Linked DNA regions of Caenorhabditis elegans. The protein of the gene in region 2 purifies or fractionates together with the protein of the main gene of each other region. This does not show direct contact. Each region holds a gene or a part of one and is shown on either strand. Other genes may lie near its edges. The genes, in order: lin-1 and lin-31.

Region 1 (4,814 bases), on a different chromosome or scaffold from region 2:
GGGGTGTGCGGCAAATTTGCCGAATTTGCCGAATTTGCCGAGCACGGCAAATTTCAAAAAAGTAGATTTGCCGAATTTGCCGAATTTGCCGCACACGTCAAAAATTTGACAGTACAATTTTGACTAAAACTATTGATTTTTTAGCCAAAAATTTAGTAAAATGATACAAAATTGAGCTATTTTGATGCTTAAACAGACATACTACGCGGAACTTATTCAGAAACCAGATGTGTGTTAAGAATTCAGTAGTTTTGGTGCTCCAAAAAACATAAAAAAAATATCAAATTTTTCCGAGTTTGTTAAGCACGGCGAATTTGCCGAATTTGCCGAATTTGCCGAATTTGCCGAATTTGCCGTGCTCGGCAAATATTGAAAAAAGAGATTTGCCGAATTTACCGAGCTCGGCAAATTTTGAGATTTGCCGCACACCCCTGGTGGAAGCCCTAGGAGAGGCTACAGCAGTTATTCCAAAATTCTCAAGGTGGGTTCAAAAATTTCCTAAATTTTTCTCATGTCCTCAAAAAAAAGCAAATACACTACTAAAACTGAATCATGCACTACCAGATGCCTATCAGTCGCACCTTTTGATGACCTTCCCCCCTGGTTATCTCCAAAATGATGATCTCACAAAAATCCGTGAAGACGCAATAATATTTATGTTCCACCCTTCCACATCTTTCCGATATAACCTATCATTAGTACGGTTTTCTTGTTGGATAAAGAGGTTTCAGGGGCTGACAAAATATTTAATATGAATTGAGTAGAGGGGTTTTTCATATGATACTACCCTAAAAACATTCCGGATGACTGATCTTTTTAGGACCCCCACTTCACCCCATTCAAGCACCTCTTCTTTGTCGGCCATATATTCCGATCCGTCAATTTTGGTCGCAGATGACTTTAATCCGCAACTTCAGCTGCTCCGAAAGAGCACAACAACAATAACAACAGATAAGGAAGACAAGAGACCCGTAAATAGTGAAGAACAGATGCTAGTTGGGATGGTTTTAGGGGTAACAGTAAAGCATATATATCAAGAAAATTCAAAGGTATAGAAGAATATCAAAATGAGTGATTTTCACCCATTTGAAGATACTTTCAGAAAAATTGCAAAGCACGTAAAAATGCATTAAATTATTGGAGGACACTATTACAGACTCTGTGGCATAGTAAAGACAAAAGGTTGTATTTTATTCCAGCCATGTGTTTAATGTAACGTTTTGCAAATGGATATAAAAACAATAGTTCCAGTTATGAACCTTTAAAGCTCTAAACATTGTCATGTGGTTTGATTTAACTTGACTCTTCAACAAGAAGTATCTAAATATATAAACGTATCAAACACACACCCTCCCCTCCGACTTATTAATTGACACCATATGTCGTATGTATATATATACAAAAGTGATTGGGTGTGAAAATGCGGTAGAAATCAAACAAAAATGGGGGACCTGCGGTACTGTGAGGCGGAAATATGTATAGAGGGAGTTGGATTTATACCGAAAATTTCGTCTTGACAATTATTTTAGAATTGAATTTTATCGTGTTATTTTTTTTGAAAATTCTGCTCAAAGTTTTAAAAAATACCCTATGTTTTGGCAAAATTTAAGTCATTTTTCTCACAAATTTCTTGAAAATTCTACTCAAAAACTTGAGAAAAAAGAAACACCATACTAAATCATCAAATCATCATTAAAACCAAATACGGATTAGCTGCTCTACCCAAAGCGACACACATTCATCAATTCTTATCGGATTTTACCCGCAAAAACCAAAACTAAATTCAGAAAAAAAGAGAAAAAAGTGGCAGGGAGAGGAATCAGTAGTTGAGCATCAACCGACAGGTGGAAGAGCATGGTCGTTACGGTTTATTCAGCCGTCTGGCAGGAAGAACAAATTGGTTTGAAACTTGTTCTACTAGACTAGTTAGTAAAATATTTTGAGAATGTGCCAATAGCTCCACTTGCCACTATAGTAGAAAAGTATCATATTGTTCGAACATCCTTTCAACTTTACCAGTTGTCATTGTCATTGTCATTGTCATTGACTCGGTTGTCATTGGTTTTATCAGAAAATTGTCAACTGACAAAATGTTTGTCACATATTTTTTTAAAGTTTTCTAGTTTACTATATTTTGATATTTTTAAAATCAACTGAAATTAGAGCTTCTAAAGTGAGGAGGATTTAACATGGTGCATCAGCTCATATCTTGGTTGTCTTTTGATTTTATTTGAAATTGTCAACTAACAAAACATTTTTCAAATATTTTGCTATAATTTTTTCATTTTAAAATTACTAGCATTAAAATAAATAGAGATATAGGCTGTCCAACAAATTAACCTCAAATGAACCCACTTTGGCAGCTTATGCAACTTTATCAGTTGATATCTTGATTGACATTGGTTTTATCAGAAAATTGTCAACTAAAAAATTGTTTTTCACATATTTTTCTATAGTTTTGTATTTTACTATATGTTGATATTTTAAAAATGAACCGAAATATGTGCTCCTAAAGTGTAGAGGTTCAAACATGGTGCATAACTTTGTCACCACTTTCCTTGGCTATCTTTGGTTCTATCAAAAAACTTTTAACTAACAAAACAAATTTCATATGTTGTTCTATAACTTTGTAGTTACATATTTTTTCGTATCTTAAACATTAACCGAAATATAAACTGCCAAAGTTGCCCAATCAATGCACCATGTCCCCTAATTTTTCATTTCACATTTCGACTGTTCAAATCACAATAAGCAAATTGCCGAAAAATGTGAAATTTTTCATTCAAAATAAAAATCACTATCAGCAATTTTGAGCCAAACTTCATTGAGCACATTTGCTTTTAGTAGCAAGTGTGTTTTGCTCCAAATACTATAAAAAATAAACTAACTTCTTATATCCAAAATTCCCTCAATCGTATGTTTCGGAGATTCTTCTTCCTCGGCTTCTTCCGAACTCGACGGCGGCTCTTTTTTGACCTGCAAAAGAATACTATTTAGGAGTCATGAAGTCAGTGGACAAACCTTCAAAAGGTCAATGTGATTCATTTTCGTGTAAACTGTAGAGTGTCGGCGCTTTCTTTTGACCTGGAAAATGGTACGGGGTGGCGGCGGCTGATGAAAGATGACGTGGCAATGAGTGACGAGCTGGCTACTATTTTCAGTGACTCTATAGATAACAAGGGACGGGAGGGGGGCTGTAAAATGCGGAAATTTACAACACTTTTTGCTCACTTATTGTTGAATTGAATCTACATTATAAAAACACGATAATTTTAAGATATGAGCAAAACTTGCTGTCACTTTACGATCTCATGCCTACCTTATGCCTACTCTAGGCACCAGGCAGGCATAAAGGCCTACTGTACAATTCATAAAAAAAGAATGAAGTATGTGGAAAGTGGGACAATTATTAATATCTTCAAATTTTAATGCGTTGTGACACAAGACACAAGGGAAAAGTTTTAGTTTCAAAGGCCTAATTCCCTTGGCTAATACGATTTTAAACGGAAGAGGAGAGGTTTAATGTTAGAATAATTTAAAAGTTGAGGGAAATGGTTTAGTCTTAGATTTTTTTTAAAAGTAAAATCATATATTGGAAATCACAAAAGTTGGTCTGCTCAAAAGTTGTTTAAGTGTAATGAAGAATTTTTTTTTAGCTATTTGATAATTATTTTATAATACCTGCAATGTTTTTGTATGTCTTCTTACTTCAAAATAGCTCAAAATTGTCTGAAATTGCCCAAAAAACTCTTTGAAAACCCGCCAAACAACGTAGGAAACCGAAACTTGCTCGAGACTTAACTTTGAAAACTTGGTTGTTTTTGTCAACTGACAAAATATTGTACAATTATGCAATTAACATTATTAATCAATTTAAAACAAACCAAATTTTTTTCCACTTGCCAATATATAACTATTTTGGAAAATTAGAAAATCATCATATTAAACGAACATGGTGCATCGAAAAAAAACTTCAACTTTACCAGTTTATATTTCGGTTGTCATTGGTTTTATCAGAAAATTGTCAACTGACAAAATGTTTGTCACATATTTTTTTATAGTTTTCTAGTTTACTATATTTTGATATTTTTAAAATCAACTGAAATTAGAGCTTCTAAAGTGAGGAGGATTTAACTGCATAACTTTGACAGCTCATATCTTGGTTGTCTTTTGATTTTATTTGAAATTGACAACTAACAAAACATTTTTCAAATATTTTTCTATAATTTTCTCATTTTAAAATTACTAGCATTAAAATAAATAGAGATATAGGCTGTCCAAGAAGGAACGACATGGTGCATCAATTGAACCTCAAATGAACCCACTTTGGCAGCCTATGCAACTTTATCAGTTGACATCTTGATTGACATTGGTTTTATCAGAAAATTGCCAACTAAAAAATTGTTTTTCACATACCGTATATCTTCTATTAATATGGCCTCCCTATTAGACTTGCACTCCCTATTAGTATTGCCCCTCGGAGACCTTCCGAAAATTAGTATGGCACTCCCTATTAGTCTTGCACTCCCTAATAGCCTTGCGTTTACTCTTTTTTATTGCAGGCCCGTCTTGTTAACTTCAGGATTTCAACAAAAAAATTTGCCTATTTTGCAACAGTTTTTCACAACATTTCTACGAGATTGAAGTTTTTGAACTTATTATATATGTTACAATTAAAAGCAAATTTTCTGAATTTTTACATAAGATTCGAGCTTTTTCAGAAAAAAACTAGTAAGCTCAAAGTCAGAAAAATGTTCTGAAAATTAGTATTGCACTCCCTAATAGTCTTGCACTCCCTATTAGTATTGCAAGCG
Region 2 (7,076 bases):
ATATCGACATGCCTACTTACCTACATGCCTGCCTACCTAAACGTTGTCAGTCTACTTTGAGTTAATGGCTGCCTAGATTATCTGCCTGCCTAGGGCCTAGCTGATTTTTGCATATCCACTCAGTTGGTTCTCGTGCCAAGAAATTTCAAAAAGAAACTCACAAAGAAAAAATGTAAAACATAGAGATAGCTACAGTTGCACAAAACGAAAGAAGCATCATCAATGCGACCGCACTGAAGTATGGCGGGTTGTTCTTCAATTAAAGATTAATTCAAGTGAAATAAAGATAAAGATAAATCTAACCAGTAAATCCAGCGGAAAAAGGCTAACTTGATCTACCGTGTCATCTACATTCCATTGTGGCAAAAAAACCGAAATGCCGTTGAAACACCACGAGAATACAATTGAGAAAAATAAAGCAATAAGTAGAGTATTTATACGGTTTTTTTGAATCCATTTTTAAAGAATTTTGAGCGTATGTATAAGAATTCGGACGCTATTCTTATACGCAAATTGTAGGAGGAGTCGTAGTATTTCGACATAACAATTTATCAAATTTCGATTGACTCATCGATATCGTTGCATTCGTATTGTTTGAATATTCTGTAGTCTTTCGGGAAAAATTTGATATGAGAGAGTCACGGTAAATATCAAAGATAACAACAATTACGGCAGCGTTGGAAAAAATTGGCATTTTTAATTGATGTTTCAAGTAAAAAAAATCAAACTAACCACTGGCAACTTTTTCATTATTTGGAGAAAAAAAAACGTTATTTGGTTGTTTATGACTAAAAAGAGCCTGGGAAATTAATAAATATTTTATATTCAATACAAAAAATATTGGGGAACAGAGTACAAGAAGTACTTATCACAAGAAGAAAAATCTAGAAAATCAATAATTTCAAATGTATAGGGACTAGGTTTAGAACAGAATTGACATTCTGAAGTTTAAGCTTCAGAAAAAATCTGAAAAAAGTTAACACCGATGGAAATATTGGGAGCTGGGATGTGTGGAATGTTATCATTGATAATATCAGTTGTTAGTAGGTCCTCCGCTTAGCAGCCGACAGTTTACAGGTTTTGCCCCGTGAAATGTCGGCTGCTAGGTTGGGTTAGTCGGTTAGTTGGTTAACAGAGCGCATTTGCACATTATTGAAATAGAAAATCGAATCTTAAGAAACAAGAAAAGAAAGACAGGATGACAGAAAATGAACAGGAAAATGTGTGGCACAATTTAATGAAAATATTATTTTTTTAATAATTAAAAGGTAGTGAGATGAGCTCAAAAGCTCAAGAGCTCAAAATCGACTCAATACTGAAAGAAGAGTTGAAGCCAGCTTCAGGAGTTGGAGTCTTCGACGATGAAGATCCCGACCCAGAAATCTCCGATGTTTCAGAGTGTGGAGTCGAGCTCTCAAAATTCGAAGAATTTTTCAAGAAATGGGGCATTAAAAGTAGGGAAAGAGGGTTCAGAAGCAACGATTTTGTAGGATCCATGCCTGGAGGAAACAGGCAGAAATTTGGGAGTGATGGTGGAAGATTTGGGAAAAGGGAGGAGAGGAGTGGTGGGGTTATTGGGGGCTCCGGGAGCAGTGGAAGAGGATTTTTGCGAGAGATTTTCGATGGAGCCGGGTGGTGGAAGTCGTCGTCGTCGTCGTCTTGGCCGCCGCGAGCCTGAAATTGAATTTTTTAAATATTTTTTAAAACTGTGTTTAAAAAACGTTCAACTTTTACAGCAAAATTTTATGATTCAATTTTAGAAAATGCACTATTACCAGTACAGATAGTGTAGATAGTTGAAGAGACAGAGACATCCCGGGACCCAAAGGACGGGGCGCGGAAAAAGCCGATTTGTGTCGATTTACGAAATTCTAGAAACGAGGAAAACTGTAAATCGACGTAAATCAGCTCTTCCCGAGCACCGCCCCGAAAAAGTCTGCGTCTCTTCTCCAGCATTCTTTGTAGATCAAACCGAACTGAAACACTTTGACACCACATGCCGGTAGTAATTTAAAAGGTACCTTACAGTTATGCCTTTCAAATTTGCAGCACTTCTATAATTCATCTCTTAAAGTACATATACTAATAAATCAGGCACCTGACAAACATTGACACCTCGCTCCACCACCTAAATATCTAAATTCAAACCGCATCAATCTTTGTCTTGCCTCTTCTTTCCCCTCCAAGTGATTAGTCCTCCCCTCCTCGCCCCAAGGCCATTTAATCTACCGTACTACCTAAAACATTGCGCGAAATGGAATGAACCATAGGCAAAGAGAATCACTTTTGTTTCCAATCCGTCTTATGTACATGTACAAGTGATACAGTTATATGTATATGTGTCACATATTAGCTAGCGCCCCGCGACAGCCCTTCTTTTTCGGCGGGGGACCCCCCGCTGGACAGCCTGACTGTCATTTTAATGGGCTTGTGGTTGGAGGACAGACTGTATGGAGGATTTGATATTTGGAACAGTACATTGGAACAGAATTATACCTGTTTGCATAGTCATGTCCCCGTTCTTCCTACCTACATGCCTAAGTGCTTGCCTACAGCCTTATATTTCAATAGGTGTAGAGTTCCCAAGCCGAATAGTTGAAAAAAATTTAAAGTTATGTGCAAACCCCGCTCACCCCACTCAAACAAACTCTTGCAACTTCTTATTACTTTTTCTTTGTCCTCTTTTCTAACTACTTCATCATACACACACAGACACAAGTCACTCATTTTCATTTCAACATAACACTACAATATTGGATAGGAGGCATCTGTTGCCCCCCCCCGTAGAAGTAGTAGGAGTACAACTATTGCAACAGATGGCACATTTTATTGGGTAGTACCGGGAGGAGAGTATTTCGCGCGCGTAAGTCAATTCATCTTAATATGACTGTTTAATTGTATTGAGTAAAATTGAGTGAAAATTGAAAATATTTTGGGGGGGGGGGGGGGGGGCGAGGTTAATTACCCTATGTAGATAAACGTTTCAAAACCATTTTGATAAAAAATTTTTGTCAAATTTAAAACTTTGCAGAATGATTTGAAAATTGCAGGTCAGTACCAAAACCACAGTGCCGAAGCTTCCTATTCTCCGAAGGCATTTGCGATTTCTGAAAGTTCCAACTCTGCAATTTTTTAAGAATTTTGTACATTCTCAAAGTTGCGCAATTTCGGCTGAACCAAATACACAGGTACTCTTCATTGCCTAATCTTAAGCATAAGTCTAAGCCTAAGCCAGAACCTAAGCTTTACCCTAAGCCTAACCCTGAGCCTGAACCTAAGCCTAAGCCTAATCCTAAGCCGGAGCCTAAGCCTAAGCCTAAGCCTAAGCCTAAGCAATAGGCTAAGCCTGAACCTAAGTCTGAACCTGAGCCTAAGCCTAAACCTAACCCTGAGACTGAGCCTAAGACTAAGCCTAAGCCTAAGCCTAAACCTAAATTTAAGCCTAAGCCTGCGCATAGCCACACTATCTTAAATATTTGTTCACAGTCTTCCCTTTAAACTACAGTACCCCACATCAAAATCTGCAAAGTCTTATCCAATCCTGCAGCCGTTCATCATAATCTCTTCCCCCAATAGTCTCTCAATCGTATTTAAAACAAATTTCTCGCCTTTTCTGTCATCGACCAACCTTGAGGATTACTGTAGAATTGTCTTTCTCTCTCAAAATCGTGAAGGGGGAAGCACGCGCGCGCCCTCTCTAAATCAATTTTTCGTTTTTTTTTGTTGGAGATTTTTGCGTTTCTCTTTGAAGTGATAAGATCATTAATTTACACAATTTGATAAGTACAGTAACCGAAGACTTACCCGAAATCGTTTCCGACGCCGTAAGCAGCTGCCGTTCTCGAACATTCCGGAGGCATTTGGGTGCACCGCCCAGTAGGAGCCCTGGAATTTTTTACGGTGTTTTTTTTTCGGAAATTTAGAAAAAAAATTATCACAGGATTTAACATGGAAATTGCAGAATGAGCAAAAAGTGTTGCAGATTTACTTTAGCTCTAAGGACTACGGTAGTTGTTTTGTTGGTTCTATAAAGTGAGCATGTGCTCATTGAGGGCAAAAGAGCACAAAAAGAGAGCAAACGAGTTCTTGGAAAAACCCATATATAGTATGTAACTTTTTTTTGCTAGAAATTCATCTTTGAAAATTGCAAATTGTTTAGGTTTTTAAAAATTAAATTAATAACTTCGGAAATTTTATTTTTTTTTAAATTACAAATATTACCTTCCCAGGACGATCGGCTCTTCTTGGGATCTTGATGAAGCAGTCGTTGAATGACAAGTTGTGTCGCAGGGAGTTTTGCCACCTGAAAACATTACATTTTGAGCTGATTTTTATCTTTTTTTCTGAAATGTTGAAACTAATGAATACACTTTTTGAGTTTTTTAGAGAATTTTTCTGTTTGTTTTAAAGGAAATTTCATATATTTTTAAGTCACTTTAACTATAAAAAAATCAAGAGAAAACTTCGAAAATATATTTCTAGGACTTTTTTTTGTTTAAAACATTGAAAATTGCATATTTTTGAACCCAATAATTTTTCTTATAAAAGTGGGGAAACTACAAGAACTAATCTATAAAAGTGAGAAAAAACCCCAAAATAAACCGGACTGAAAACTATGAAATTTGGAGTTTTTGAGCATATTTTGTATATTTTTTCAAAGCAAAATAACTATGGAAATACAAATATCGAAATTTCAGAAAAAAAACATTTCAATCTTCAAAGCTCTGTTAAAACGCAAAATCAGTCACAAAGGGAAACTTCAATGTCAGATTTTTTTGTTAAATTTAACTTGAAAATTTTTCACAAAATGGCCTTAAAAAATGGATTCTTGGAAAAATTGACAAAACCCCCCTTTTTTGGGTTTCAGTAACACAGGAATTTTAGAAAAACTAGAAATTTTCTTAGAGCTCAAAAACTTTCAAACCCCCAACTCATACCTCTGCGTGTTTTTCCTATAAAACGGAAACCGATCCATAATATATTTGTAGATCTCCGTGAGCGGGAGCATTTTATCGTCAGAGTCCTGAATAGCCATATAGGTGAGCCAAATGTACGAGTACGGTGGCTTCTGCTCATCGTACGAGTCTTTTCCGGGTCTTGGCATTTTTCAGGGAATATGTATAGAGTTTTGCTTGGATTGATAATTAATAAAGAAGGTTTTGGAATATATCAAAATATATTGAAATCTTAGCGATTGGGAAAAGTCAATTTGTTTGAGAAGCCAAGCCTTAGAAGGAGAAGAAGGGCGGAGCGTTGAGTGGGCGGGGCTGGCCAACGGGGAGACAGCGCTTACCGAGACCGCCCGTAAGGGAAAAAGGCAACAACTTGTAATAAGGAAAATGACAACACATTTCTAATAGAAAAATAAGTCTTTGTTTTACATTCACATCACTAACCTATATTTGGGAGGAACCAGTTACTCCTGTTGCTGGTGCTGCTGCTGACCGGGTATCACGCAGCCCCCGCTGAGTTGGGGCATCTGGTGTGGGACGGGATTCACTGGAATACTGAAGATGAAAGAGTTGATTGTGTTTTTTTTTGAAAATGTAGGTAAACTGGTATCAGACCACCCGAGAACTGTCACGACTTGTTTGAAATTTTGAGTGACACCGAGAGCGGTAGGGGGGAAGCGTTCGAATTAACGGGATTAGTCCATGGAATGGTGGGGTGTCTAGGTGGGAAGAATTAGTGTCAATATTTGAATTTTTGTTGGACAATTTTAAAATCATGAGAATTACTAAAATATTCAAATATTTGGGTCACCTGGAGAGCCTAGAGCACGCTTCAACTTCAAACGCTCATAACTCTGCGGTTACCTGAGATATCAAAAAACTGTCAACTGATTAAATATTGGTCATAAAATTTTGCACATTTTGTTAATTGACAACTTTTTTATATCAAAAATATTTGTGGAGTTATAACGGATTAAAGTTTGGAGACCACCTAGTGAAAAAGTACGGTAGTTTGGGTTTTCTGCAACAAGAAAAATAATTTAAAAAGCATAGAAAATGTTGAATTATTATGCATTCGAAAAAAGTTTTGGTGAACATTTTCTACAAAAAAATGTATACCAAATGAAAAAGAAACTAGAAAACCTCAGTAGAAAATTTCACTACAATGATTTAGAGAAATCTTAAAATCTTAAAATCCAACTCTGAAAGGATGTTTTCAGCTAGTTTTTTTCAAAGCTCCATTTTTTGCAAGTTTTCCTCATTTTCTAATTCCATATTCTCGAGAGTACACTAACCCCATTGTCCTTATTCACCCCCCTCCCAGTTAGATATTCCATTTGACACTTCACCACTTTTTTGGAACAATTTCACTCATAAATTCCGTAAAGTTTCTCATCGTCACCACCACCACCATAATTTAATGAATGAATAAAGTAATATATATAATAGTAGTAGAGACACCCATTCTCATCACCTAATATTCTTCTCCATAAATTGTTATTACCTACCGTACTCTCGGTTTAAAAAAATTGTATGTGGGAGAATCAAAAAAGGGTAGTGATTATTCTAATTAAATATGACTGGGTTTGTCTCGGGACAAAGATTTTATAAATGAGATTTGGGATAAATGATCAATGGGGAGCTAAAGGGACCTTTAGGGCGCAGCGAGTCGTAATCAGAAAATTTAAATCAACTCCCGGGGGCTCGAACTCATGACCGTTTGCTTCAAAGTCGTCCCTCTTAGCCACTGCGCCACTTGGTACGGCGCCCTAAGAAAACGGCGCCACGGATGGCTCAGTGGGTAAGAGCAATGCCTTTGGAGCAAAAGGTCAAGGGATCGAGTCCCCGTGAAAAGGTTTAGGTTTTGAATACCGCTGATTTCAAATTTTTTACTTGAAAACTCTAAAAACACACGTAAAACGTGATACTTCGTAATTATGTTGATAAAAATCAATTTTCTTACAAATTTACAATGTTCTAAATCAGCTCAGCAACTTCGAAGACAGACCAGTAAAGACAAAACGAAGACATCAAAATAGAAGAAAAAAGAACCAGTTGTCCTTACGGAAGAATAAAAACCGCAATGCCATCCACCAGTTAATCAAAAACGGTTTCCTCCTCCTC

What was found.
Region 1: the proteins of lin-31 (region 2) and lin-1 purify together in Caenorhabditis elegans (affinity purification with western blotting, with the first as the bait; one study listed by BioGRID). This does not show direct contact.

Annotation. Positions count from the first base shown.
Region 1 is NC_003282.8:2,297,242-2,302,055, forward strand, and holds the start of lin-1 (ETS domain-containing protein), read right to left. Parts: upstream 3,046-4,814; coding exon 3,022-3,045; intron 2,977-3,021; coding exon 2,889-2,976; intron 1-2,888.
Region 2 is NC_003280.10:3,980,682-3,987,757, reverse strand, and holds lin-31 (Protein lin-31), read right to left. Parts: upstream 5,210-7,076; 5' UTR 5,105-5,209; coding exon 4,938-5,104; intron 4,304-4,937; coding exon 4,222-4,303; intron 3,886-4,221; coding exon 3,805-3,885; intron 3,430-3,804; exon of another isoform or gene 3,238-3,429; intron 1,675-3,237; coding exon 1,291-1,674; 3' UTR 729-1,290; downstream 1-728. Other genes in the region: K10G6.5 (Serpentine receptor class gamma), read right to left, coding at 162-220. UniProt on the Caenorhabditis elegans protein: Lin-31 regulates how vulval precursor cells choose their fate. It helps specify three alternative cell fates in vulval development.